Linked DNA regions of Macaca mulatta. The protein of the gene in region 1 binds, or shares a complex with, the protein of each later gene. Links are inferred from orthologs where the notes say so. Each region holds a gene or a part of one and is shown on either strand. Other genes may lie near its edges.

Evidence for each region.
Region 2: the proteins of DNM1L (region 1) and MIEF2 are in contact, whole or in part, in a cryo-EM structure (PDB 5WP9), measured with the Homo sapiens proteins. The link is inferred for Macaca mulatta from reciprocal best matches to the Homo sapiens genes DNM1L and MIEF2. Residues at the interface, in NP_036192.2 of Homo sapiens: Asp190, Met191, Ala192, Thr193, Ser194, Leu197, Lys198, Ile199, Arg201, Glu202, Gly223, Thr224, Asp225, Asp228, Arg233, Val234; in NP_631901.2 of Homo sapiens: Val213, Asp214, Thr215, Val216, Arg218, Arg226, Leu230, Arg235, Val245, Gly246, Tyr248.

Annotation. Positions count from the first base shown.
Region 1 is NC_133416.1:34,914,458-34,926,744, reverse strand, and holds part of DNM1L (dynamin-1-like protein), read right to left. Parts: intron 9,238-12,287; coding exon 9,117-9,237; intron 7,418-9,116; coding exon 7,286-7,417; intron 5,683-7,285; coding exon 5,476-5,682; intron 2,223-5,475; exon of another isoform or gene 1,764-2,222; coding exon of another isoform or gene 1,504-1,763; intron 1-1,503. Other genes in the region: nucleosome assembly protein 1-like 1, read left to right, coding at 1,504-1,763. UniProt on the Homo sapiens protein: Functions in mitochondrial and peroxisomal division.
Region 2 is NC_133421.1:19,838,653-19,851,581, reverse strand, and holds MIEF2 (mitochondrial dynamics protein MID49), read right to left. Parts: upstream 5,948-12,929; 5' UTR 5,819-5,947; intron 5,054-5,818; 5' UTR 4,847-5,053; coding exon 4,833-4,846; intron 3,833-4,832; coding exon 3,679-3,832; intron 3,466-3,678; coding exon 3,303-3,465; intron 2,834-3,302; coding exon 1,779-2,833; 3' UTR 755-1,778; downstream 1-754. Other genes in the region: FLII (protein flightless-1 homolog), read left to right, coding at 7,550-7,612, 9,215-9,325, 9,640-9,711, 10,966-11,046, 11,376-11,461, 11,549-11,710, 12,048-12,151, 12,516-12,691 and 1 more. UniProt on the Homo sapiens protein: Mitochondrial outer membrane protein involved in the regulation of mitochondrial organization.

The DNA.
Region 1 (12,287 bases):
ACTGTAGTTATGCAAGATGTCCAACAGTGGGGGAAGTTGGGGAAAGGGTACACAGTGGAGGGTGAGTGGGACCTCCCTGTACATCACCCTGCAACTTCCTGTGAGTCTATAATTATTTCAGAATAAAAAGATGTTTTTAGAGAAATGGTTGTTCTTGCTAGTAGTAAAACAGTACAATATGCTAACAATATGCAATATGTAATGAAAGATTCTAAGGATATTATATCCTTTAATCTAATAAACTTACTTCTACAAATTTATCCTCAGTGTTTACTTGGACACAAGCCCCAAAGATAGATGCAGGTAGTCCATCACAGCTTATATGTGTATATAACAGAAAACAAACTATCCAGTAGTAGGAGACTGGCCCAACAAATGAGGGTATATCTAAAAAGTAAAATACTATGCAAATCTTCAGACTGATAATGTATGAGATAGAAAGTTATTTGTTACATGATTTAAGAAATGATTCCAAGATAGGTATAGCATCTGATTTTTAAAGATATGTAGTACAGTCATCTATGTGTTATAGATGCATAGAAAAATGCCTAGTTCAATGCCAAATTTTAGGAATTATCTCGGGTTGGTGAAATTAAGGGTTTGTTTTCGTTTTCAGAGATGGGGTCTCCTTTTTTAGCGCCATCTGCTTGCAGCGCTGCCTCTTGCTCCTCCCACCACCTCCTCTTGCTCCTCCCACCACCGCTGCTGCCCTGAGTCACTGCCTGCACAGCTCCACCCGCCTGGCTCCCCATACTAGCCTCTGATATTTGAGTTCTTACAACATGGCAGACATTGACAACCTGCCTAGCTAGGGTAGTTAAAAGAGGAGTGAATACTCTCAAAAACCTGCATAAGTGCACAGATAGAAGCCAAATTATATGAGGAAGTTCACAATCTTGAAAGAAAGTATGCTGTTCTCTATCAGCCTCTATTTGATAAGCAATTTATGATTATTAATGCAATTTATGAACCTATGAAGAATGTGAATGGAAACCAGATGAAGAAGATGAGATTTCAGAGGAGTTGAAAGAAAAGGCCAAGACTGAAGATGAGAAAAAGGATGAAGAAAAAGAAGACCCCAAAGGAATTCCTGAATTTTGGTTACCTGTTTTTAAGAATGTTGACTTACTCAGTGATATGCTTCAGGAACATGATGAACCTATTCTGAAGCATTTCGATGATACTAAAGTGAAGTTCTCAGATGCTGGCTAGCCGAAGAGTTTTGTCTTAGAATTTCACTTTGAACCCAGTGAATATTTTACAAATGAAGTGCTGACAAAGACATGTAGGATAATGTTAGAACCAGAACCAGATGATTCTGATCCCTTTTCTTTTGATGGACCAGAAATTATGGGTTGTACAGGGGGCCAGATAGATTGGAAAAAAGGAAAGAATGTCACTTTGAAAACCATTAAGAAGCAGAAACACAAGGTACATGGGACAATTCGTACTGTGACCAAAACAGTTTCCAATGACTCTTTAATTTTCTTGCCCCTCCTGAAGTTCCTGAGAGTGGAGATCTGGATGATGCTGCTGAAGCTGTCCTCGCTGCAGACTTCAACATTGGTCGCTTTTTATGTGAGCATGTAATCCCAAGATCAGTGTTACAGTTTACTGGAGGAGTTACGGAAGATGATGATGATGAGTATGGTGAAGAAGGTGAAGAAGCAGATGAGGAAGGGGAAGATGAAGGAGATGAGGGAAATGATCCAGACTATGACCTGAAGAAGGATCAAAACCCAGCAGAATGCAAGCAGCAGTGAAGCAGGATATATGTGGCCTTGAGGATAACCTGCACTGTAATAGCCTAAACACAACTCTTACTTACTGCCTTATGTTTTTGTATTTTCTTGGTAGACTACGTAATTTTTGTTTTAAAGGACAGGAAACTGATATTTTAAAGACCAATTTGTTCTAGCTAGCATTTTCACTAGTTTTTCTGCCAGATATGTTGAATGCACAAATTCTGTCACACATGTTCATTCATTGCTAATAATTTGGTTCTTCTGGAATCTTTTTATGTAGCTCTTGGAGTACAGCTATGAAAATTAACAACTGTTAAAGGAAACACTTTTTTTTTTTTCCCGGAATTTTTTCCTTGAAGAACCAAAGTATATTTTCAGCTGTCTGTTGAATAGGGTTAAGTCTGCTTGGATTAGCTATGCCTTTCATTACTTTGTTACAGAAATGCAGGGACTTATACTAAGACAATTCGTTTAAAAAAAAAATTGGCATGTGCAGTGGCTCACGCCTATATTCCTAGCACTTTGAGAGGCTGAGGCAGGCAGATCACCTGAGGTCAGGAGTTCAAGACCAGTCTAACACGGTGAAACCCCATCTCTACTAAAATACAAAAATTAGCTGGGCATGATGGCAGGTGCCTGTAATCCCAGCTACTCAGGAGGCTGAGACGGGAGAATCGCTTGAACCCAGGAGATGGTGGTTGCAGTGAGCTGAGATCATGCCACTGCACTCCAGCCTAGGTGGCTGAGCAAGACTCGGTCTGAAAGAAAAAAAAAATGGGCAAGACAACTATATGGTTAAGAATTTAAGAATTTCCAGTATGACCACACCCAATAACTGTATTAGATTGTTAATGGATTATTGTGTTATAGGTGAAATAGTTAACTGTAAAGTAACCTGACTCAGTATAGTTACTGGTACAACAGTGAGATGAATAAGACAGGATTTTCAGAAGTTAGCCTGAATTTCACTATACTTTTAAATTTAACCTCCATTAACTAAGCATCTTTTCTTTGTAGTAGGATCTACCTTCTGCTTCCCTGGAAAGGATGAATTTACATCATTTGACAAGACCTATTTTCAAGTTATTTGTTGTTTATTTGCTTGTTTTTGTAGCCTAAAATAAAAATTTCAAATACAATTTTAGTTCTTACAAGATAATGTCTTAATTTTGTACCAATTCAGGTAGAAGCAGAGGCCTAGCTTGAATTAAGGGTTATACTCAGTTTTTACCACATTAGTGAAAAGGGTACCAGCTTTGGAAAGAGATACTATACTAATAAGCAAGTGTAAAAAAAAGAAGAAGAAGAAGAAAATTTTAAGTGATATGATGCTTAAAAAAAAAAAAAAAGTTAAAGTTCATTTTCTTTGGGGTAGAGCTAGAGAGAAGGCCCCAAGCTTCTGTGGTTTCTTCTAATTCTTATTGCTTAAAGTATGAGTATGTCAATTACCCATGCTTCTGTTTGCTATGTATTAAAATGTGTAGTACTGTTTATTTAACTACCTTATGGATGTGTTAAGGCATATTGAGTTAAATCTCATAAAATGTTTCTTGATCTCGTTAAAAGCTCAAAATTTTGGGCCTATTTGTAATGCCAGTGTGACACTCAGCATGTTGTTCACACCACACTTTGATAACTAAACTAGAAAACAGTTCAGTTATCAATTAAATTATCAGTTAGTGATCTTTGTGTGGCATATAAATATATATAAATATATACAAATATATATATAAATATATACAAATATATATATAAATATATACATATATATATAAATATATATATATATATAAATATATATATATATATATATATATATATATATAAAATTTTTTTTTTTGGAGACAGTGTGTCTCTCTGTTGACCAGGCTGGAGTGCAGTGGTGCGATCTCAGCTCACTGCAACCTCCAACTCCCAGGTTCAAGCAATTCTCCTGCCTCAGACTACTGAGTAGCTTGGATTACAGGTATGCACCACCACACCCGGCTAATTTTTGTATTTTTAGTAGAGACGGGGTTTCATCATGTTGGCCAGGATGGTCTCGATCTCTCAACCTCTTAATCCACCTGCCTCAGCCTCCCAAAGTGCTGGGATTACAGCCACCGCGCCCGGCCAGTGTGGCTCCTATTTTTATAGAAGTGGATGGATGCACTATTTCACAAGGTGAAAGAATTTTTTTCTGTATGACTGCGTTGTAGTACTACAGGGAGAGCACTATAGTATTGTAGTCATGAGAGTAAAGTGGAAATAAGACTATTTTTGACAAAAGATGCCATTAAATTTCAGACTGTAGAGCCACATTTACAATACCTCAGGCTAATTACTGTTGATTTTGAGGCAACTTTCTTTTGACGATGGTGAGGGTGGACTATTGGATTGTCATTACAGGAAGGTCTAGATTTCCTGCTTTTAACAAAATTACATTGAATTCATTTTTAGAGGTGATGAAAACTTCCTTTTTGAGAAGTTAGTGTTAAGGTCTTGGAAGTGAACACATTGTTTGTAGTGCTATCCATTCCTCTCCTGAGATTTTAACTTACTACTGGAAATCCTTAACCAATTATAACAGCTTTGTTCTCTTTATTTTCAAAATGATTTCCTTTGCTTTGATTAGACACTGGTTTTTTTTGTTTGTTTGTTTGTTTTTGGTAACCGTAGTTCATCTAAATGCAGCTTTTTCTGAACTTTAAAGACAGAATCACTTTTTTTTTTCTGAGACAGAGTCTTGCTTTGTTGCCCAGGCCAGAGTGCAGTGGCACCATCTCGGATCACTGCAACCTCCACCTCACAGGTTCAAGAGATTCTCCTGCCTCAATCTCCCAAGTAGCTGGGATTACAGCTGCCTGCGACCACGCCCGGCTAGTTTTTGTATTTTTAGTAGAGATGGGGTTTCATCATGTTAGCCACGCTGGTTTCGAACTCCTGACGTCAGGTGATTCGCCCGCCTTAGCCTCCCAAAGTGCTGGGATTACAGGCATGAGCCACTGTGCCTGGCCAGAATCCCATTTTTAACTAACTGAGATAGCAAAATCATCTTTTTCATTCTTTTAGGAAATAGCTGTTGCCAAAGTGAAGGTGTAGATAATACCTAGTCTTGTTACATAATGGGGATGTGGTTTGCCGAAGAATTTTCTTTATAAAATTGAAGTTTCAAGGGATGTCAGTGTTTATGCCATTTTTCCAGTTCCAAAATTATTCCATTCCATTCTAGAAATCTGAAGTATGTAACTTGAAATCCTTAATAAAATTTGGATTTAATTTTAAAAAAAGAGAGAGAGAGAAAGGGAGTCTCAATATGTCGCCCAGGCTGGCCTTGAACTCCTGAACTCAAGGGATTCTCCTACCTCAGCCTCCTGAGCAACTGGGGCTGCGGGTGCACACCACCATGTAATTTTGTTTTTATGTTTTATTTTTACTTATCTGCATTTTCTAATTTTTTATGAGCAATTATAATGTGTGTACTAAAGAAACAAACACTTTAAAAGCTAAATTAAGAAATATTTTTTCTTATTAAAATAGTTTTACAAATACATGAAAATTTTACTTTGCTTTACATCATTTACAAAACATATTTTCACACAACCAGACATCATCCTATTATCTCTACAAAATTATATTTTTGTTTTATAGATAACAAATCTCAGATAATCTGAGCTGAAGTCATCTTCACAAAAGGAAAAGTGACCTAGCACTCTAGGTAACCAAATCTACAGAAACATTTCTTACTTACAGCTCTGAAGTTTCAATATATTTTGCAGTTCCTTCAATCGTGTTACAATATTCTGTGGCAAATTTGGTAATAAGCTGGAGTAAAGTAGCACTTTTATCATCCACGGGTTCACCGTAGCTATTTAGAAGAGACTGATACTGAGCAGCTAGAACATTTATTCTTGTTTTCAACTCTGGTAAGCAATCTCTGATGTGATGCATCAGTAACCTAAAAAAGGTTTTTAGAAAGGAAGGATTTAAAAGTAAAATAAGTCAAATTTTTAAAATGGGGAAAACCTATCAAATAATTTGTCCTGGCAAATGTGATACTGTGAAATATATATTTGGTCTTTGTCTTCATTTCCTGGCAGTCAGCTCCTAAAATCCTTGGACTCTCCAAAAGCATAAGAGTGTTTAGAGTGTCTTTGCATGTTAATGAGATGACTGGTGGCTAGATAGCTTCAGGATGGGAGCTGGTCACCAGAACAGCCTCAGAAGAAGGGAGAGAGGCCAAAGGTTGAGCTGATCACCAGTGGCCAATGGAGTTTCCATAAAAACTCAAAAGGACGCAGTTCACGGAGTCTTCAGAGAGTAGAACACATGAAGGTTCCCAGAGTGTGGTGTGCCCAGAGAGGGCACGGAAGCTCCACATTCCTTCCCACATGCCCAGCCCTGTGCATCTCTTCATCTGGCTATTTACCTATATCCTTTCTAATATGCTTTATAGTAAATGGGTATATGTTAAGTAGTGTTTCCCTGACCTCTGTGAGCCACTCTAACAAATTAATCAAACATGAAACGGGAGTCATGGGTACCCTGACTTATAGTCCATCAGTCAGAAACACAGGCTACAATGTGTGCTTACAACTAGCATCTGACTTGGGGGCAGTCTTGTGGGACTGAACCCTCAAACTGTGGGAGCTGACGCTATCGCCAGGTAAATAGTGTTAGCATTGAATTAAAGGACATTCAGCTACAATCCCCTGGAGAATTCCTTGCTTGATGTATGGGGAAAACTCCCCATGTATCTGCTCTCAGAAGCATTATGTGCCATACTGATTAACTGTGTGTAAATAGGAAAAAAACAATTTGTATTCGTTTTTCCTAAATCATAAAAGGAAAAAAAATGCAAATTATTTTCATATTACTGCAGTTACCACAGAGAAAGCAAGCCACTCAATCAATTCTTCCTATATAATTTTGGTTTCATTGACTTGTCATTTACAATTAGTAACCAGCAAAGTAAAAATCAACCTTATTAAGATCCAAATCTATCAGTCTTTAAGGAATAAAAGTAAGAGAAAATGGCTTCCACTTCAGTCATTTATAAATAATCTAGAAACATCTTCTAGTCCCCCACCATCAATGAGTATTCAGAATCCAACGTATACAACTTAAGTTATTTCTACAGTGAATAGGAATAAAAGACATTCTATTTCTTTGTTTTTCCATCTCCCTTCCCTGGTAAATAAAAGACATTCTAAGTTAAGAATAGATAATGTGAAAATTACAAATTTTAATGCAGTTGCTGAAATGCAAAGTGCAAATGAAGTCATCTCTAGTTGTATCCACAAAACTAAATTAACTGTCAAAATTTTCATAATTAAAACATCTTAAAATCACTTGAACATTCATTCTAGACTACATGATGATGTAATGTCAACCACCCCAATAAAAATAGAGACATCTACTCTTCAGGAACCTACTATATAAGAAACCATAAGTGAAGCTGTTAGGAACAGTATGAAAATGTAAGGAACTGAAAATGAACCCTCTCAGACACCTATTGGTAAAAACAAACACATCTCATTTCCAAAAGGTAAAAAAATTACCTGTTTAGAGTCCTAGCAAGATACTTTGTTCCATTTCTATTGGCCAGAGATGGATATTTCTTTTGAAGAAAAGCATACTCATCACGGATTGAATCAGTTACACTCTTCTTGTTGTTAATATCTAGCTGGCTCCTGAGGTTGAAAAAATTACAAAACTATTCAGCTTAATGGTTGTCCTCTTCCTACCTCAGATGATGACAGCACCAGCCATTATTCTCTAATACCTGACAGGGACTGTTTTATTTAATTCTCACAATAATTTTATGTGACAGGTATTACTACCCCATTGTATAGCAAGGAACTGAGGCTCACAGAGACTAACTTACCCAAGGTCACACACTAACTGGCATAGCCAAGACTTGAACTAAGTGAATTATAAGTAACTAGTGCCTAAATAGAGTAGGCCTCATTATTACCATTAACTATAGACAAAAACAATAAGTAACAGGTATAAACAGGTATAAAAATATAAGAGTATCTTAGTCAATTGTATATTTTATCCATGCCAGGGAACTAATTTCGCCCAAAAATAATTAAGTTAATTTGAAGAACAATCATCTACAAATAATGAACAGTGTTGCTTGCGCCACCTCCTTGCCTGAAAAAAGAGACAGTTGGAATTGAGAGTGGGGATGGGAGAATGACAGGAGGGATGGGATGGAAGGACATTAAAATAGAAGCAGACAACTGGAATGGATCTTATATATCAGGTAGTAAAAACATTTTCATTTTCTAAAGGCTTGAGACCCAAAGACATTAGGTGTCATTTAAACCTACATTGTATCTAGTTTATGGAAGAACTGGGACTAGAACTCAGATTTCATGATAATTTCAGGGTTTCCTAGCATATGAAGGCTTTGGACTAAAAGAGAGATTCATCCGAGTCCAGCTCTTTCACTACCCATGTGACTTTTGGTTAAATGTATAACCTGAGGTTTCTGATTATAAAATAGACATCAACACCTACCTCAGGGGATGCTGTGAGGATTCCAAGAGATACCATTTGCAAATTGCTCAGAGTAGAGTGTCTAAAACATAATTAGACACTCAATAATAGTTTCCTTTTTCCAATTTTTAATACCAACTATTTATAATTAGGATACCTTTAATAAAATTTCTCCAAGTCACATCCTGGCAATTACACAAAATCACTAATGCTAGGGATTAAACCAATCTATTAAAATCCTGCCACCTTAAACTCTTTCTCGACTGTGTATACATTAGGTAATTTTTCCCTTACCCAGCACCTCCTCATACATTGCTTAACATGATAGGCAAGAATTCTTAAAGCCTGGCTATTACAACATTTCTTCCATTTTGTGGTATTGCTTACTTTAGAAACATTTTCCATTAAAAATTTCTACGGGGGCAGGCATAGTGGCTCATGCCTGTAATCCTAGCACCTGGGAAACCAAGGTTGGAGGACTGCTTGAGCCCAAGAAGTCGAGACAAGCCTGGGCAACATGGCAAGACCTTGTCACTACAAAAAAAATTAAAAATTAGCCAGGTGTGGTGGTACACACCTGTAGTCTCAGCTACTTGAAAGGCTGAAGTGGAAGGATCACTTGAGCCCAGAGGTCGAGGCTACAATAAGCCACAATCACGCCACTGCATTCCAGCCTAGGCAACAGAGACGCCCTGTTTCCCAAAAAAAAAAAAAAATTTCTATCTCTTTTCTCCCTTTAGGGCAATTGATTCTTTAGCAATACCAAGATCATAGTAAAAGGGAGAAAAAATACAGGACAGTATCACATTTCAAACAGATTTTAGAAATTCAGACTTGCTCTGAAGTGATTGCTCTACCAATTCTTATCCCATTCTAACTGCTAACCTGTTAACTACTCCAATTATTCCAAGTTTGACTGGAATAACCCTTCCCATCAATACATCCATGGCATCGGTACCCGCATCCATGAGATCAAGTTTAGTGATTACAGCTAGGGTTCTGCGACCTGGTAAATGCAAAAAGAGAAAAGGGCAAAGAAAAGAAAGAAAGAAAGAAAATGATCCATTAAATAAAACTATTAAGCATTAATAAAGGAAAACCCTCATCTATAATCGCACTTAGTATTACCTCTGTCATCATTTTGGTAATGCCTTTCTTACCAGTACTTTTTAAAAAATAATTTTAAACATTGTGTACAATTTTTAAAAACATTTTTGCCAGGTGTGGTGGCTCATGCCTGTAATTCCAGCAGTTTGGGAGGCCAAAGCGGGCGGATCACCTGAGGTCAGGAGTTCGAGACCAGCCTGACTAACATGGTAAAACCCCATCTCTACTAAAAATACAAAAATTAGCCAGGCGTAGTGGTAGACGCCTATAATCCCAGCTGCTCGGGAGGCTGAGGCAGGAGAATTGCTTAAACCTGGGAGGCGAAGGTTGCAGTGAGCTGAGAGCATGCCATTGCACTCCAGCCTGGATGATAGAGCAAGACTCCGTCTCACAAAAATATAGATATAGATATAGATATGGATATAGATATATAGATATATAGATATAGATAGTATATATAAAAAAATAGTTTTTTCACATGCAATTTTTTGTTGACTCTTAGGGCTATTTTGTAAGCATTTAAAAAATCTATATAAAATTTACATCCAGGTGATATGGCCCATGCCTATAATCCCAACACTTTGGAAGGCCAAGGCAGACAGATTGCTTGAGCCCAGGAGTTCAAGACCAGCCTGGGCAAAGTGGTGAAACTCTGTCTCTACAACAAATAGAAAACTTAGCAGGGTATGGTAGTCCTAGCTACAGGTGAGGCTGAGGTGGGAGAACTACCTGAGCCCAAGAAGTCAAGGCTGCAGTGAGCCGTGATTGCACCACTGCACTCCAGCCTGGGCAATGGAATAAGACCTTGTCTCAAAAAACAAAAATTAAAATAAAAATATTGACTCCTTTTTGGTGTACAGTTCTAAGAGTTTTGACAAATGCCAAGAGATATTTCACAACCAACTCAAGACACTGCCGCCCCCCACCAAATTTTCTTATGCTAACCAATCAAACCAATTTTCCATCCCTAGTTTTGCCTTTTCTAGAATGTTATATAAACGAAATCAGATAGTACATAACCTTTTGAGTCTGGCTTCTTTCATTTAGCATAATGCAGTTGAGATTCATCCATGTTCTTGTATATTAATAGTCCGTTCTTTTTTATTGCGGAGTAGCGTCCCATTGTATGGAATGTACTATACTTTAGTTTCACTCCTCATCTGAGAAATATGTGAGATGTTTCCAGTTTTTGGAAATTATGAATAAAGATGCTGTAGACATTTGTATATAGTTTTTATATGAACACTGGTTCTCATTTAACATGGTTAAACACCTAGGAATGGGACTGCTAATTTAACTTTACAAGAAACTGCCAGACTTGTTTCCCAAAATGACTATACCACTCCCACCAGCAATGTATGAGTTCAATTGCTCTGCATAGTGTACAATTTTTAGTCATAAGCATTTTTCTTTTTTTTTTTTTTTTTGTGCAGTGGTACAATCTCGGCTCACTGTAACCTTCGCCTCCTGAGTTCAAATGATTCTCATGTCTCAGCCTCCCCAGTAGCTGGGATTACAGGCATGCACCACCATGCCCGGCTAATTTTTGTATTTTTAATAGAGATGGGTTTTCACCATCTTGGCCAGGTTGCTCTGGAAATTCTGGCCTCAAGCGATCCGCTCACCTCAGCCTCCCAAAGTGCTGGAATTACAAGTGTAAGCCACCACACCAGGCATTTTTCTGTATTGTTCCAAATCAACAAAATCATCCTTTTTAATTATTTCATATTTTACTGTTAAAATTTACTTAATCCTTCCAACTGTTGGTCGTATTAAGTTGTTTCAAAATTTTAATACTATAAATAATACTAGGCCAATTATTTCCTTATGATGTATTACTAGATTAAGATTAGTAATCAAGCCAGGTGCAGTGGCTCACTCCTGTAATCCTAACACTTTGGGAGACTGAGGCGGGCAGATCGCTTGAGCCCAGGAGTGCGAGGCTGCAGTGAGGCATGATTGTGCCACTGCACTCCAGACCTGGGCAACAGAGTAAGACCTTACATCCAATACAAAAAAAAGATTAGATTAAAAATATTACAATATTTATGGCTCGAGGGTCAGTTTAAAATAGAGTTAATACATATAAAATGCTTAACAGGTTTTTTTTGTTTGTTTTTTTACGAAGGTCTGGCTCTGAGCCCAGGCAAGAGTGCAATGGCATGATCTTGGCTCAGTGCAACGTCTGCCTTCCAGGCTCAAGCCATCCTCCCACCTCAGCATCCCAAGTAGCTAGGACCACAGGCCAGTGCCACCATACCCAGCTAAATTTTTTTTTGTATTTTTTATAGAGATGGGGTCTCATTTTGCTGCCCAAGCTGGTGTCAAACTCCTGAGCTCAAGTGATCCACCAGCCTTGCCTCCCAAAGTGCTGGTATTACGGGCATGAGCCACTGAGCCCAGCCTACTTTAAATAATAAAAATAAATGTAAATAAACTCTTTGATAAAGTTTATCTTTTACTTTAACTGAAGTGAACATTATTTACTCAAATGGTAAAAAAAATTTTCTTAAACACTTGAAATATAAAATTTTGGGGCCAGGCGCAGTGGCTCACACCTGTAATCCCAGCACTTTGGGAGAACGAGGCGGGCAGATCACAAGGTCAGGAGATCGAGACCATCCTGGCTAACATGGTGAAACCCTGTCTCTACTAAAAATACAAAAAATTAGCCGGGCGTGGTGGCAGGCACCTGTAGTCCCAGCTACTCGGGAGGCTGAGGTAGGAGAATGGCGTGAACCCGGGAGGCAGAGCTTGCAGAGAGCCAAGATCACGCCACTGCACTCCAGCCTGGGTGATAGAGCAAGACTCTGTATCAAAAAAAAAAAAAAAGTGTTAAAGTGACCCTGCTTATGGGATTTTTTATTGGCAGTCTTAGCACTATTTCATATCAAATTTTTATTTGAAATTATTCTTCAAAGCAGGGTAAGAAAAACACGACACAACCTT
Region 2 (12,929 bases), on another chromosome or scaffold:
TTTTTGAGACAGAGTTTCATTCTTGTTGCCTAGGCTGGAGTGCAATGGCGCAATCTTAGCTCACCACAACCTCTGCCTCCCGGGTTCAAGCAATTCTTCTGCCTCAGCCTCCCAAGTAGCTGGGATTACATGCATGCACCACCACGCCCAGCTAATATTTTTTGAATTTTTAGTAGAAACGGAGTTTCTCCACGTTAGTCAGGCTGGTCTTGAATTCCCAACCTCAGGTGATCCACTTACCTCAGCCTCCGAAAGTGCTGGGATTACAGGCGTGAGCCACGGCACCTGGCCAAAATGCTTTTTAATTAATTAATTAATTTATTTATTTATTGAGACAGAGTCTTGCTCTGTCGCCAGTCTGGAGTGCAGTGGTGTGATCTCGGCTCATTGCAACCTCCACCTCCCGGATTTAAGCGATTCTCCTGCCTTGGCCTCCCAAGTAGCTGGGACTACAGGCACCCACCACCACACCCAGCTAATTTTTATCTTTTTAGTAGAGATGGGGTTTCACCATGTTGGCCAGGATGGTCTTGATCTCTTGACCCCAGGATCCACCCGCCTCGGCCTCCCAATGTGCTGGGATTATGGGTTTGAGCCAGCGCGCCCGGCCAAGATGTTACTTTTTAAAGTAAACTCTACCACCTCCAATTGACCTCAAGCACCCTTGCCTAAGTGCCAGGACAAGCCACAGGACTTACAGAAAACCCCCAACAGCTACGTGTGAAAGCGCCAAGACCCCCTTATCCAGCCTGAGTTACACGTTAGAATTTTCTTTTATTCTTGTTCACCTCTTCGAAGCAGAGCTTCATTTCAGCAGGAAGGATACCAGAGGCAGGAGGAGGATCACTTGGGAAGGGAGGTGGAATCTCCCTCCTCTAGCCCCCCTGCTACCTCTAACGGGCTTCAAAGTCAGAATACAGCCATCGGCTGAGAGCAGTTCATTTTGGCACACTGGGAGGCCGGCTCTGCACACCGGACCCCTCTGGTGGGGGATCAGGCCCTCTGCTCTCCAGTGGGGCCTGGAAGAGCTCCAGTGATATGCCCCAGCTGTGGGCTGGGGGCGCAGCACAGAGCCTCAGCTCCCCCAGGGCCCTCAGCTGCTTGAAGAAAACACTCACCTGGCTGGAGGGAAAAAGGGCCTTGCCCTGAGGTATCAGGTGGGTAGCAAGTCACACTGAGCTCCTGCTCCAGGGCTCGAGAACACAACAAGAAAACTAAACGCACAGAAGACAGCAGGAAAACGCCATCCTTTAACAGCCAAAAAGCTGTCATTCAGGGACACCAGGTGACTCCAGCGCCCGGGGGACAGAACAAACACACCATACCTACCACCAGGCACCAGAGGCCTCAAAACGCCTGGAGCTGGGGCCGGAGAAGGCGGTAAGTCGCCTTCTCTCAGCAGAAATGTGAAGTTGGCCTTTAGCTTCTGCCCAGGATGGCAGAAACCACATTCTGTCGGTGGATTGGTTGCTGGTGATGGACAGAGCCAAGGTCCTGGGGTTGGCCCCAAGGGCTGAAAAGGTGCTTGCAGAAATGGCTGGCACTCCAAGCTGCCTGAGCCAGCCCAGCCGTACTCAGGTGACAGTGACCCAAGCTCTCTGGGCTCAGGGTTTACGGCCACCATAGCCCAAGCACATCCCGATGCCCTGGGTTTAAGTAATGTACCCTCTTTTGTTCTGGCTAAAAGCTAGAGAAAAACCACTATTCAAATCCCCGGAAGGGAGGTGGGCGCAGCTTCCCAGCATTAGAAAACACGCCAGCCACCCGTTCCCACCCACCTACAGCAGCCCCTCAGGCTCCTGTAGGCCACTGTACAGCGCATAGCCAATGTCGTCAATCTCCTCCTCACGCAAGCTGCTGAAGAGGTTCACGCTGGGGTTGAAGTGGCAGGGCAGGCTGGCCTGCTCCAGGCTGCCGATGAGCAGTTCCAGGGCTTGCAGGAAGCGCTCACCCAAGGCCTCCTCCGTCCAGTCCACATTGTCCTCCCCCAGACGTAGGACCACCTGGGTCAGGTGACCCCGGCCCAGCTGCCCCAGGGCCGAGCAGCCACGGCAGACAGCACACAGCAGCAGCAGCAGCCGACGGCGGGTCCCAGCGTCATGGTCGTCCAGGGCTCGCAGCCTTGCAGCCTCCACTGGATATAGGTCCTGCAGCCAGAGGTTCCCCGCCAGCCCCTCCAGGGGCCAGGCCAAGAGGAGGTGGTCGTCAGCATCGGCCCCAGGGACTGCCACAAGCACAGCCACGGTGAGCTCCAGGCGCTCGTGCTGCACCTCGAGCAGCAGCTCCTCTGAGGCCATGCTGGGCCAGATCAGGCACCCAAGAAGGCTGCCAATGGCCGGCCAGTTGACAGAGGCAGCCAGCGCCTTTCGGAGTAGCTCCAGCAGGATGCGGGAAGAGAGGTAGCCCCCGACCAGGAAGCGGTCCCAGGGGCTGCTCCCGCGGGGGCAGAACTCAAGCTGAGTCCTGCGCACGGCCCAGCAGCGAGGGTCCCTCGCCACAGTGTCCACGCCCGGCACCAGGCTCCATAGGCCCGGCTCCAGCACCAGTGGCACCAGGAGACGCACATGGTCCGCGGCCCCTGCCTGCAGCCCATCATACAGTGGCCCCCCAGGCACAAATGCCCCAAAGGGCAGTTCCGGGAACTTGCTCCGAAAGTAGGCCTGCAGCTCCAGGGCAATGTCGCCAGCCAGCTGTTTGGCCAAAGCCACCTGGGCTGCTGGGATGGTCACATGGTCCCGCTCGAAGGCCAGCAGCCTCTCCTGCAGTGTCAGACACAGCGGTGCTGGGGAGCTGAGCTGTGGTGTCACCTCAGGACCAGTTTCTGCAGGCCCCTCTGCAGAGTGAAGGGGCGGGGAACATGTCGGAACAGCCTGTGATTAGTTAAGAAAACACCACCGACAGCTAGCTGTGTGACGTCCCAGGGCCTCACTTTCCTCACCTGCAATAGCACCTGAGAAGGCACTCAGTTCAGGTCCTCACATATAGTGAGCGCTTGGTGACGAGTTCTCATTGTCCCAGAGTCCAACACCCTGGCCCTATGGCTAAAACAGCTTCATGCAGAGTAGGTAGGTAAGTCACGCCCCTGTGGGCCTCAGTTTCCCCATCTAAAGCTCCCCACTATCACAACGCTGCCACTTTGCTCCAGGAGCAGGACAAAGAAACCCCACCCCCATTAAATGTCTGAGGAGCCCGCAACCCAGAGAGAAGCAGGGACTCGCACAGGGCCGCACAGTCAGTCAGGGCAAAGCCTGGGCTGCGTCTCTCGAATGTGACACCAACAGAGGGGAAGGAGTGCCACTCACCTGGGGCAGAGGGTGAGGGGGCCAAGGGCAACACTGGCTGGCTGAGGGCAGCAGGTGGAGGCCGGGGCTGCAGGTGTGGTGTGGCCTTGAGCAGGCTCAGTTCCTTCCAGCTGTCTCCCTTGGTGTCATCCTCGTCCCGTGGGCTAGTGGCCCTGTCAATGAACTACAGGCAGAGTCACAGAGATCAGTGTATATGAAGTCTGGGCAGCCATAGCAAAGCCCAGGGGCAAAGGAGACCAGGGTGCAGGGTGGAGAAGCAGGTGCAGTCTTGCAAGGCCTTGGGCAGTCCCCACCCCTCCCCAGGGCCCCTCTGAAAAGCCCAACCCTGTTGTCCTCCTGCAGGAGCCTCAGGCATGACCCACCCACCTGGCCTTACCCGCTTCACGGCCAGGGTGGCAATGCCCAGCACAGCAGCCCCGCCCACGCCCAGCACCAGGCGGGCATTGGCCAGGAGGAAGTCCACCATGCTGCCCAGCCCCTCGTCGCCACGCCGCTTCCCCCGTTTCTGGGAGAACTCTGCCATGGTCTGCCTGTAAGAGAGCCAGGGGTGAAGGGGCAGCTCAGGTGCAGGTGGCCAGGCTGAGAGAGGGGCTCTGTGGGCAGGTGCTCTGGCTGTCCTTATGCTGGGTAAGAGAGCTCAGCCCATGAGGGGGGTTTTCTGAGAATTTCTCAAGAGAAAGGGGCCACCCATCCACAGGGGAGGACACCAAGGTCCTGGGAAACCATGTAAAGTACCTAAGAAAGGGCAGGGATGAGATATGAACTTGGGTTTTGGGGCCCCAATCCCCCATCTCTCACGAGGAGATGAGGGAGCTGCCAAGCCCCTTCCCCCAAAGCTGCAAACAACCTACTCCCTGGAAAGAAGCTCGCAAAGGCCCTGAGGCTTGTGCAGGTAGAGGAAGGGGCCGCTCTCCCTGGAGCCCACCCTCCAGGACCTCTGACATCACCAGGGTGTCATCATCTCCATCCCTATGTTACAGAGCCACAGGCTGCCAGCTCACAAGTGAGTGGTGAGGTCTCCAACCCACGACTGCAAGGCCTCCAGACTCTCATCACTCACAGAGTCTGACGGATTCTCCCTGTGCCAGGTGGCCAGGTCCTCAGCAGCAGCCTTATCTGAAAGTCCCTAACCAGAGGGCACGGCAGCCCTCTATGATAACCTCTTCAGAAGAGCCCAAAGTCCAGAGAAGACGAACAATTTGGGGCCCCAGCCAGTCTGGGGGACCACTGGAACCAGTTACCCTCCAAATCTTGACAGGGTAGCCCCAAGAGGCAGAGCTACCGAGTCAGAGCACAGGCAGAGTGACACGGCCCGAGCTGCCCGGGCAGGCCAATGCAGATGTGCTTCTCAGGGTTGAAGCCCCTTTGGCAGGGCAGAAAGGGCTGCCCAGTGCCTCTGTACAGAGGGCTCTCTGGGCCTCTCAGTCTTGGGACAATGTGTAGGTAGTGGTGGGTGATGCTTCTCAGCTGCAGGGAGGCCAAGCAACAGAGAAAGGAAGGTGAGGGCCTGGGCCCAGCCCGTTTGCTCACCTGTAAGATGGCATACGCAGCAGTGGGAGGCAGATGTGGGCAGGCTTGAAGTGTGTGACTGGGTGGGGCCCAGCACTTGGGAAGTGGAGGCAAAGATCTAGGACCCAGTCCACATTCCTCACGTTCTGCGAGGGTGACACTGCCCTCAGGCCCTGGGAGATGAGCTGGGCTGTGACCTTCGGACATCAGTTAGACACTAGGCAGAACTCTCCCAGGGAGGCCTGAGCAGATGACCATGAGATCACAGCCTGCCCGGGCACCAAGGACTTCCACCTGCCCTGCCAGAGTGTCGTGCCAGGGGCCCAGTTGCCAGGTGACCAGATGCCTGGAGTAGCTAAAGCCCGAAGCGCTGTGTGACTCAGCCCCGTACACCCGCCTATTCGCCCCAGACTAAAAATAAGACGGTCTGTGGGGAGATCCCAGGCCAACCGGGTGACCCGCCACGGCCCCAAGGCCGGTTTCAGTCTCCTCATCCGTGACTCGGGAATCAATACTGCCACCCACCCCCAGAGAGACCAGGAATCTACTTTGCAAACTGTAAAGCGCTTTAAATACTCCCAACCTGTCTAAATTGGGACTCAGCCCCACCACTGGCGGGGTCGCTCAGGCCTCAGCCCACAGCCTTCCAGCTCCGGGAAGCGGGAGAGGGCACGGGTAGCTGAAAATAACCCGAGTTTGCCCAACGAGGCCCTGGAGGCCGTCTGGCCTTCCCTCCTCTGCCAAACGCGCCTGCCGTGGGCCCGGGCGGTGCAGCCCGCAGCAGCAGCCCTAGGTGGGCGGGTGACGCCCCGTTCGCAAGGAAACTAAGAGACCGAGAGGGGAAGGGGGCTGGGCTGGGATTCGAACGCGGCCCTTGGTCCCCCAAAGGTCCCCTCCCCGCCTTCCCCAGCCGTGACCGCGGGCCACGCCTCCGATCAGCGTTCAGTCGCGCGCCAAGCCCTGAGCCCGGCGACCCTGGGGGCCGCCCCGCCGCGCTCCAGCTGTACCTGCGTCGCAGCTTCCGCACAACAACCGGAGGAGGCCGCGGGACCACGGTCCCTGAGCTCGAACCAGCCTGAGACTGGAACGTGAAGGACCCTGGAACCCGACGTCGAGGGCCCCCGGGGGCGGCCGCGGACTTCGCAGCACGCAGACAAGCAGGCCCTAAGTCCAATCGGAGCGCTCGAGTTCGGAGCACAGGTGCCAAAATACTGCGCAGTTCAGCCAATGAAGGGCAGGCCCCGCCCCCCAGCCGACAGACGCGCTCCCTTCGGGGCGGGACTCCCTGACGCAGTCCGAATTTAAAGGTGCAGGGCTGCATTCCGAGCCTGCGACCAGGTGATGTGACAGGCAGCCCTCCGGGAAGTCTGTGCGTTGTAATGTGAGCCTCCGGTGTGGAAAAAGCTGTCTGGGCCCCCGTTCCTTCCAGGAGCCAGGTAGAGAGGCTGCACATGGCTAGAGGCCCGGCACATCCAACCTGTTAGATCACCTCTGCGAGAGAGTGTCTTGGTGGCCTCGTTCTTAACTGTGGGCCTGCGAGGCACAGTGTGGCGAAAGTGCCGACCCCTGCCACCTGCTCCGTGCGAGCTTATGTGGGCCATTCTCCACCTGGGCCTGTTTTTCTCCTGTAAAATGGGGACACTAGACCCCCTCCTCCCCTACGAAGCATGGCTGGGCATATAACAGCTGTGGCTCATTTATCGGGGTCCTGCTATGTGTCAGCCAGGGCGAGCCCCCTGTGAACAGCAGGGACCAAGACAGATGCTTCTCTTCTGGACCCTCCCTTTGTAGGGGGGCACGAGCACAGGGGTGCTGACACTAAGTGGGAATAATAAACCTGGCACACAAAACAAAACGGAATAATAACCTGCCACTCACTGAGCGCCTGCTGTATGCTGCAGGCTACACGTGCATTCTTTGTTCATTTACTTATGGTGACAATCTTAGGAAGCATTTTACAAATGAGGAAACTGGGTAGGGCGCGGTGGCTCACGCCTGTCATCCCAGCACTCTGAGAAGCTGAGACCGGAGGATCACTTGAGGCCAGGACATCAAGACCAGCCTGGGCAACATAGCAAGACCTTCGTGTCTACAAAAAAACAAAAATAAATTTAGCCAGGTGTGGTGGTCTGCGCCTATAGTCCCAGCTAATCGGGAGGCTGAGCCCAGGAGTTCCAGGCTGCAGTGAGCTATGATCACACCACTGCACTCCAGCCTGGGCGGCAGAGCAAGAAGACCCTGTCTCAACAAAATAAAAACAACACATGAGGAAACGAAGTCCAGAAGCTGGAGAGCTAGGACCCGAGGAGCCAGGTGTCTCACTACCACCGGTCAGCCAAGTACAGGCACTTCCTGGGCCCCTGCGACCCGGGGCCTGGGTTTAGAATCTCTCCGAGGTCAGGGCCAGCTTCATGTGCTGCAGCAGTACAGGGGACGGTGCCTGGCCCAGCGGCCGTTACGGCCCCTACCCTGAGACGCTGGGACTTAAGCCTGGAGATGGTGGAAGCCTCCAGCTCCTGCACAGGAGACGCCCAGCACTCCTTGATGCCACCGCAGTCTTTGAACAGACGGGGAAACTGAGGCCCTAAGAGGCCTAAAGCCTACCCTTCCCGGCGGAAAGCGACCGGCGCGGGCGGGTTAAAGGGGCGGGGCCGGCGCTGGCCCAGCCCGTGGCTCCCCGCACCGCCCCCGCCCCGGCGTTCCTTAGCCCTGCCCGGCCCGGCAGCGAGAGGGGCGCCATGGAGGCCACCGGGGTGCTGCCGTTCGTGCGTGGCGTGGACCTCAGCGGCAACGACTTCAAGGTGAGCTGGACCGGGCGCGTGCTGGGCCTCCCTGCAGGCCTTCTCTTCCGCCCGGCCCGCTTGGCCTCCGCTTCCTGTCCCGCCCGGCTCCAGGCCCTGCGCGTCCCCGGGACTGCGGCCGGGGCGGGGGTGGGGCTCTCCCCTGGCCAGGAATGGACCTCCGAGGCCTCCGCCCGGTGCCTGTACGGGGAGACCGAGGCCGGGCAGGCCCAGGACGGACGCTTGGGCTCGGAGTCCCGCCGGGGACCCGGCCGGGAGCCCCCACCCCGTGTCCGTGTTATCCGTCTGGGCTGGATGGTGGCCTGGGGGTCGGGCGAGCCTCCCCGCCCCCGAGAGGTCACACGCCCAAGCCAGGCCCTGACTCAGGGATGGCGGCCTGGCCGCCCAGGGGCGGGTGCGGAGCCGACTCATCACTGCCCTCTCCCCGCCACCGCCACCCGCCATCCTGTGTGATCCTGGGCCTCTCAGATCACTTCCCCTCTCAGAGCCCGGGCTTTCTCAGCCGGTGAAAGGGCTTAAAAGTCGCCTCCTTGGATGCAAGGGGTGTAGTGAGATTTGTTGGTGTGGAGAGTGTGTCAGGCGGGTGTGCCAGGTGCTGGGTCTGAGCAGCTGCTGTACTGAGAGAGAAAATGACGGAGCCCAGCCCTCTGTAGCCAGTGGGTGGGGCGGGAGGTGGTTCCAGGACTCAGGAATGAGACAGGCATCGCCGTACCATAGGGGAAGCAGAAAAAGAGAGGAGGGAAGAGCTGGCTGGAGGGTCAGCCTCACTTTCAGGGTGGGTGACTGGCAGGGTCTGCCTGGGTTGTCAGTCTGGGGCCGAGAATGAAAACGCAGGTTTTTCCTGCGTTTACCTGCATGTGTACACACCTTTGACCCAAAGTACAAGTGTCCACACCACTTTTCCCTGACCCCATCCCCACCACCCTAACCTGGGGTCTCTGTTCCTCTTTGCTGAACTGGGAGAGTCTGAGTCACCAGCTGGGAATGTGGCCCCAGGGGGAGAGGAATACCAGCCGCGGGCACTGAAGGCACGTGCTGCCCCAGACTTGGTGCCACAAGGGCTGGGTGCCAAGGTGGGCGTTCACACACTGGGGGAGTGCAGTGATACGGCCCTGCCCTGCAGGGTGGGGAGCCACGGTCTCCACAAGCAAGAGTTTGGCCCTGGCTGTGTGAATCGCCTGTGTGCTGATGGCAGGGTGAGGGTACAGGTGGGGCCTTTGCAAAGGCTTGGAGGGGGGAATCCCCCACCCCAGGCCTCCAGTCAGAGCGTGGAATGCTGGGTGAAGGAATTTGAGCAGAGCTAACCACAGTGCCGGGTGCTGGGCTCTCACCTGAAACAAGCCAGTTTTGTCCTGGCCCTCCTGGGGCCCAGAATCCAGTAGGATAGACAAATCTTAGGCCAACACTTTTGTCACAGGGGGGCTTTTATTAGTCCCATTCTATGGGTGAAGAAATTGAGGTGCAATGATGAAATGACTTGTCTGTGTTCTCACGGCTGGTGAGAATTGGTTCTGTGGCTCCCCAAAGGCTCCCATGGGCTGGAGGAGCCATAGAAGGTGGTGAGCAGGGGCTCTGTGCTTCACCTTCACATCCTTCCCCCAGGGCGGCTACTTCCCTGAGAATGTCAAGGCCATGACCAGCCTGCGATGGCTGAAGCTGAACCGCACTGGCCTCTGCTACCTGCCCGAGGAACTGGCTGCCCTGCAGAAGCTGGTAAGGGGCTTTGGGCAGGCAGGGGAGGGTCCCTGTGGATAAGCCAGATGGGCAGAGCCTGTGGAGAAGGCAAACAACTTCTCCAGAGAGAGGAAGAACACTGACAGCTATGAGCACAGCTGGAAGAAAGGGAGTGGGCACCCTGTCCAGGGAGGTATGCAAGAAGAGGCTGGGTCCGTGAGGGAGGGAGGCTGCAGGGGGAATTGGGCCAGCGTGGCTGAGGCCTTCCTGGATGGTGCAGAGGTGTGGAGGCAGGCGGGGACTCTGGACACCCCATCCACCGTACTGAGCCTGTGCTCCCCATTCCGGCCCAGGAACACTTGTCTGTGAGCCACAACAACCTGACCACACTTCACGGGGAACTGTCCAGCCTGCCGTCACTGCGCGTGAGTGCTGGCCGGGAGGCCACCAGGCTTGGGGTTGGGACCAGGGTCTGGCCAGGGACATGAAGCCTGGGCCAGACGCCAGGCTGGGCCAGCATCTCTGCCCGCCTCCGTGTCAGGCTCAGAGGTTCAGGTGTCACAAGAGGGGCCCCCTTGTTAGAGGTTACAGCAGTGCCCTGCGTAAAGTAACCCATGTGGATCAGAGAATTCTCTTGGGAAAAAGATAAATCCAAAATCTTACCAGCCATTATGGACAGTAACTACGGTAATAATAACCAATACAGGCTGAGCCATGTTCCCATTATTCTATTAGGATTTTTTCATATGCTCTAACCCTCCACTAATGTTGCGGAAGAGAAACTTGGCCACCAAGGCAGATTACTTGCCCCAGGTCACAGAGCCAGGCAGTGGTAGAGCTGGGGTTGAGTAGGGTTTGGCCAGGAGCACCGTGTACCTTCTACCCAAGACTTGAACGTCCCAGGGCATCAGGCCCTTGGCCAGACCCTGTAGGCCTCAACAAGGGCCATTCTCATCTGAAGTCAGAGCCCTGGAGATGTTTCGGGCACAGCTTCTCACTTGGACTCTCTGAGTTCAAAGCTGGGCTTTGCCACTTCCTGGCGATGTGACCTTGTGCAAATCCCTTCTGCTTTCTGCATCTCATCTGCAAGTGCAGTGGTTGGGAGGGGCAGCAGTGACCTCAGGAAGCAGCAGCAGGGTGCCACACAGGCATTCGGACTGGAGAAGTGGCGGGGCAGCTCCAGTGACTCCCGTTGTCACTTGCAGTCACAGCACCATTCTCTGGCCCTGTTCCCTCTCACGCTCAAGCTTTCTGCATCTCTGTAAGGTGTAAGGAGGTGTCAGCCTTAAGTTAGGGAGAGAAAGCAGACTTCCTCTCAGTCCAGATGCTGATTTCGAGTTCTCTCCCTCTGTTCTGAAAACCCTGACTCAGACCTTACCCCTATCTTACCTTCTGGCATTAAGAAGAAGAGAAATTATTTGAACAGAAAAGATTCCCTGAGGGCCCTGTGCTGGGCTCCGGGGCACATTTGGGCTGGGCTTTGAGGTGTGACTAGGAGTTCACTGGGAGGCTAGTAAGAGCCCTCCAAGAGAGGAGGCTATTTGATCAAAGGCCAGAGGTAAGAGAGTCCTCAGGCCTGGCCTCTGGTGAGCCTCCTGAGGAGGTGTCCCTCTCTAGACTCTCTGTTCCTTTCTGGGAGTAGAAGCCAAGAATCATAGACTCTTATGGTTTATTCCCAGGCCATCGTGGCCCGAGCCAACTGTCTGAAGAATTCTGGAGTCCCCGATGACATCTTCAAGCTAGATGACCTCTCAGTCCTGGTCAGTGGCTACCGACTCATCTGGCCCCTATGCTAGCCGGACCATTCAATCCCCACTCACTATAAAAGTCCCTGGGGCCATTGTCATCCCATTTTGCAGATGGGAAAACTGAGTCTTGGAGTGGATAGTACCTTGCCTGAGGTCACTTTTGGAGTCAGATCCCTAACCCAGGCACTCTTCCTCCCAAGTCCCTGACTGTTTCTCTTTGGCCCTGAAACCCCCTCATCTACCCCCACACCCAACTCAGTGCCCTGGCCTGATCCCCAAGCTTGGCAGAAGCCTGGCAGGGTGGAGACTCCCCTGACCTGGGTCTTGCCCCTTCTACCCAGGACTTGAGCCACAACCAGCTGACGGAGTGCCCGCGGGAGCTGGAGAACGCCAAGAACATGCTGGTGCTGAACCTCAGCCACAACAGGTGCCAGGCCAGCCAGGGGCAGGGGGCAGGTGGGCCTTGGGGGGGTGGCCGGTGCTGACTCAGGTGGCTCCTGCTCCCCACCCGTAGTATTGACACCATCCCCAACCAGCTCTTCATCAACCTCACCGACCTGCTGTACCTGGACCTCAGCGAGAACCGCCTGGAGAGCCTGCCCCCGCAGATGCGCCGCCTGGTGCACCTGCAGACGCTGGTGCTCAATGGGAACCCTCTGCTGCATGCACAGCTCCGGTGGGCGCCCCCTCGGGCCGCACTCCTGCAGAAGCCACCCTGAGGAGTCTGGCCTGGCCCCTTAACTTCCCAGAGCCCCAGCCCTTCTCCACTGGGCCCAGCCATCCCTCCATGCAGGCAGCACCCCTCAGTCTCCAACCTCCTAAGTATCATGTCCACCTCTCAGTCCTGTCTTCCCGCTTACACGCCCTGCACCACCCTTGGGCTTGTCCCTTCGGCCAGATGAGACTTCACACCTACCCTCAGGGCCCTGTGCTCTTGGTCCTGCCCTGCCAGGCCCCACCCTTGACACCCCCTAGGTGGGCCCTGGCCCTGACCACTCACATCACCCTGGCAGGCAGCTCCCAGCGATGACCGCCCTGCAGACCCTGCACCTGCGGAGCACCCAGCGCACCCAGAGTAACCTCCCCACCAGCCTCGAGGGTCTGAGCAACCTCGCAGGTCAGGCAGCCCCAGGAGCCCCTCTGAGCTGTGGCCCGCTTTGGGCCCTCTTGCTTCCTTATGGGTGAAGGGGGTTGAACCCTGCTCCTCAGACCAGTGCCCAGAGGGAAAAAGCTACAGTTATGTTACAGTGACTTCTGCGATGATGATGATGATGTCTTAACACTGACTTTATGCCCAGACACCCCTCCCAAAGCCCCGTGTGAGGGACTTTGTCCAAATGGAGAAACTTGGGCGCACGGCAGTCGTCATTTGCCTAAGGCCACGCAGCTCAGAGGTGGCAGAGTTGGGGTTCACACTGGGGCTGGCTGCCCTGGCACCTGCTGCATGGGCCCCAGCTGATGCACCCCACCCTGCACCCCAGATGTGGACCTGTCCTGCAACGACCTGACGCGGGTGCCTGAGTGCCTGTACACCCTCCCCAGCCTGCGCCGCCTCAACCTCAGCAGCAACCAGATCACAGAGCTGTCCCTGTGCATAGACCAGTGGGTGCACGTGGAAACTCTGAACCTGTCCCGAAATCAGCTCACCTCACTGCCCGTGCGTCTGATCCCCTCGGTAGGGGGGTGGGAGGGAGGCGGTGAGCCTGGCCCTGACCTCCCACCCCTGCCCATTGCCCCTCCAGTCAGCCATTTGCAAGCTGAGCAAGCTGAAGAAGCTGTACCTGAACTCCAACAAGCTGGACTTTGACGGGCTGCCCTCGGGCATCGGCAAGCTCGCCCACCTGGAGGAGTTCATGGCTGCCAGCAACAACCTGGAGCTGATCCCTGAAAGTCTC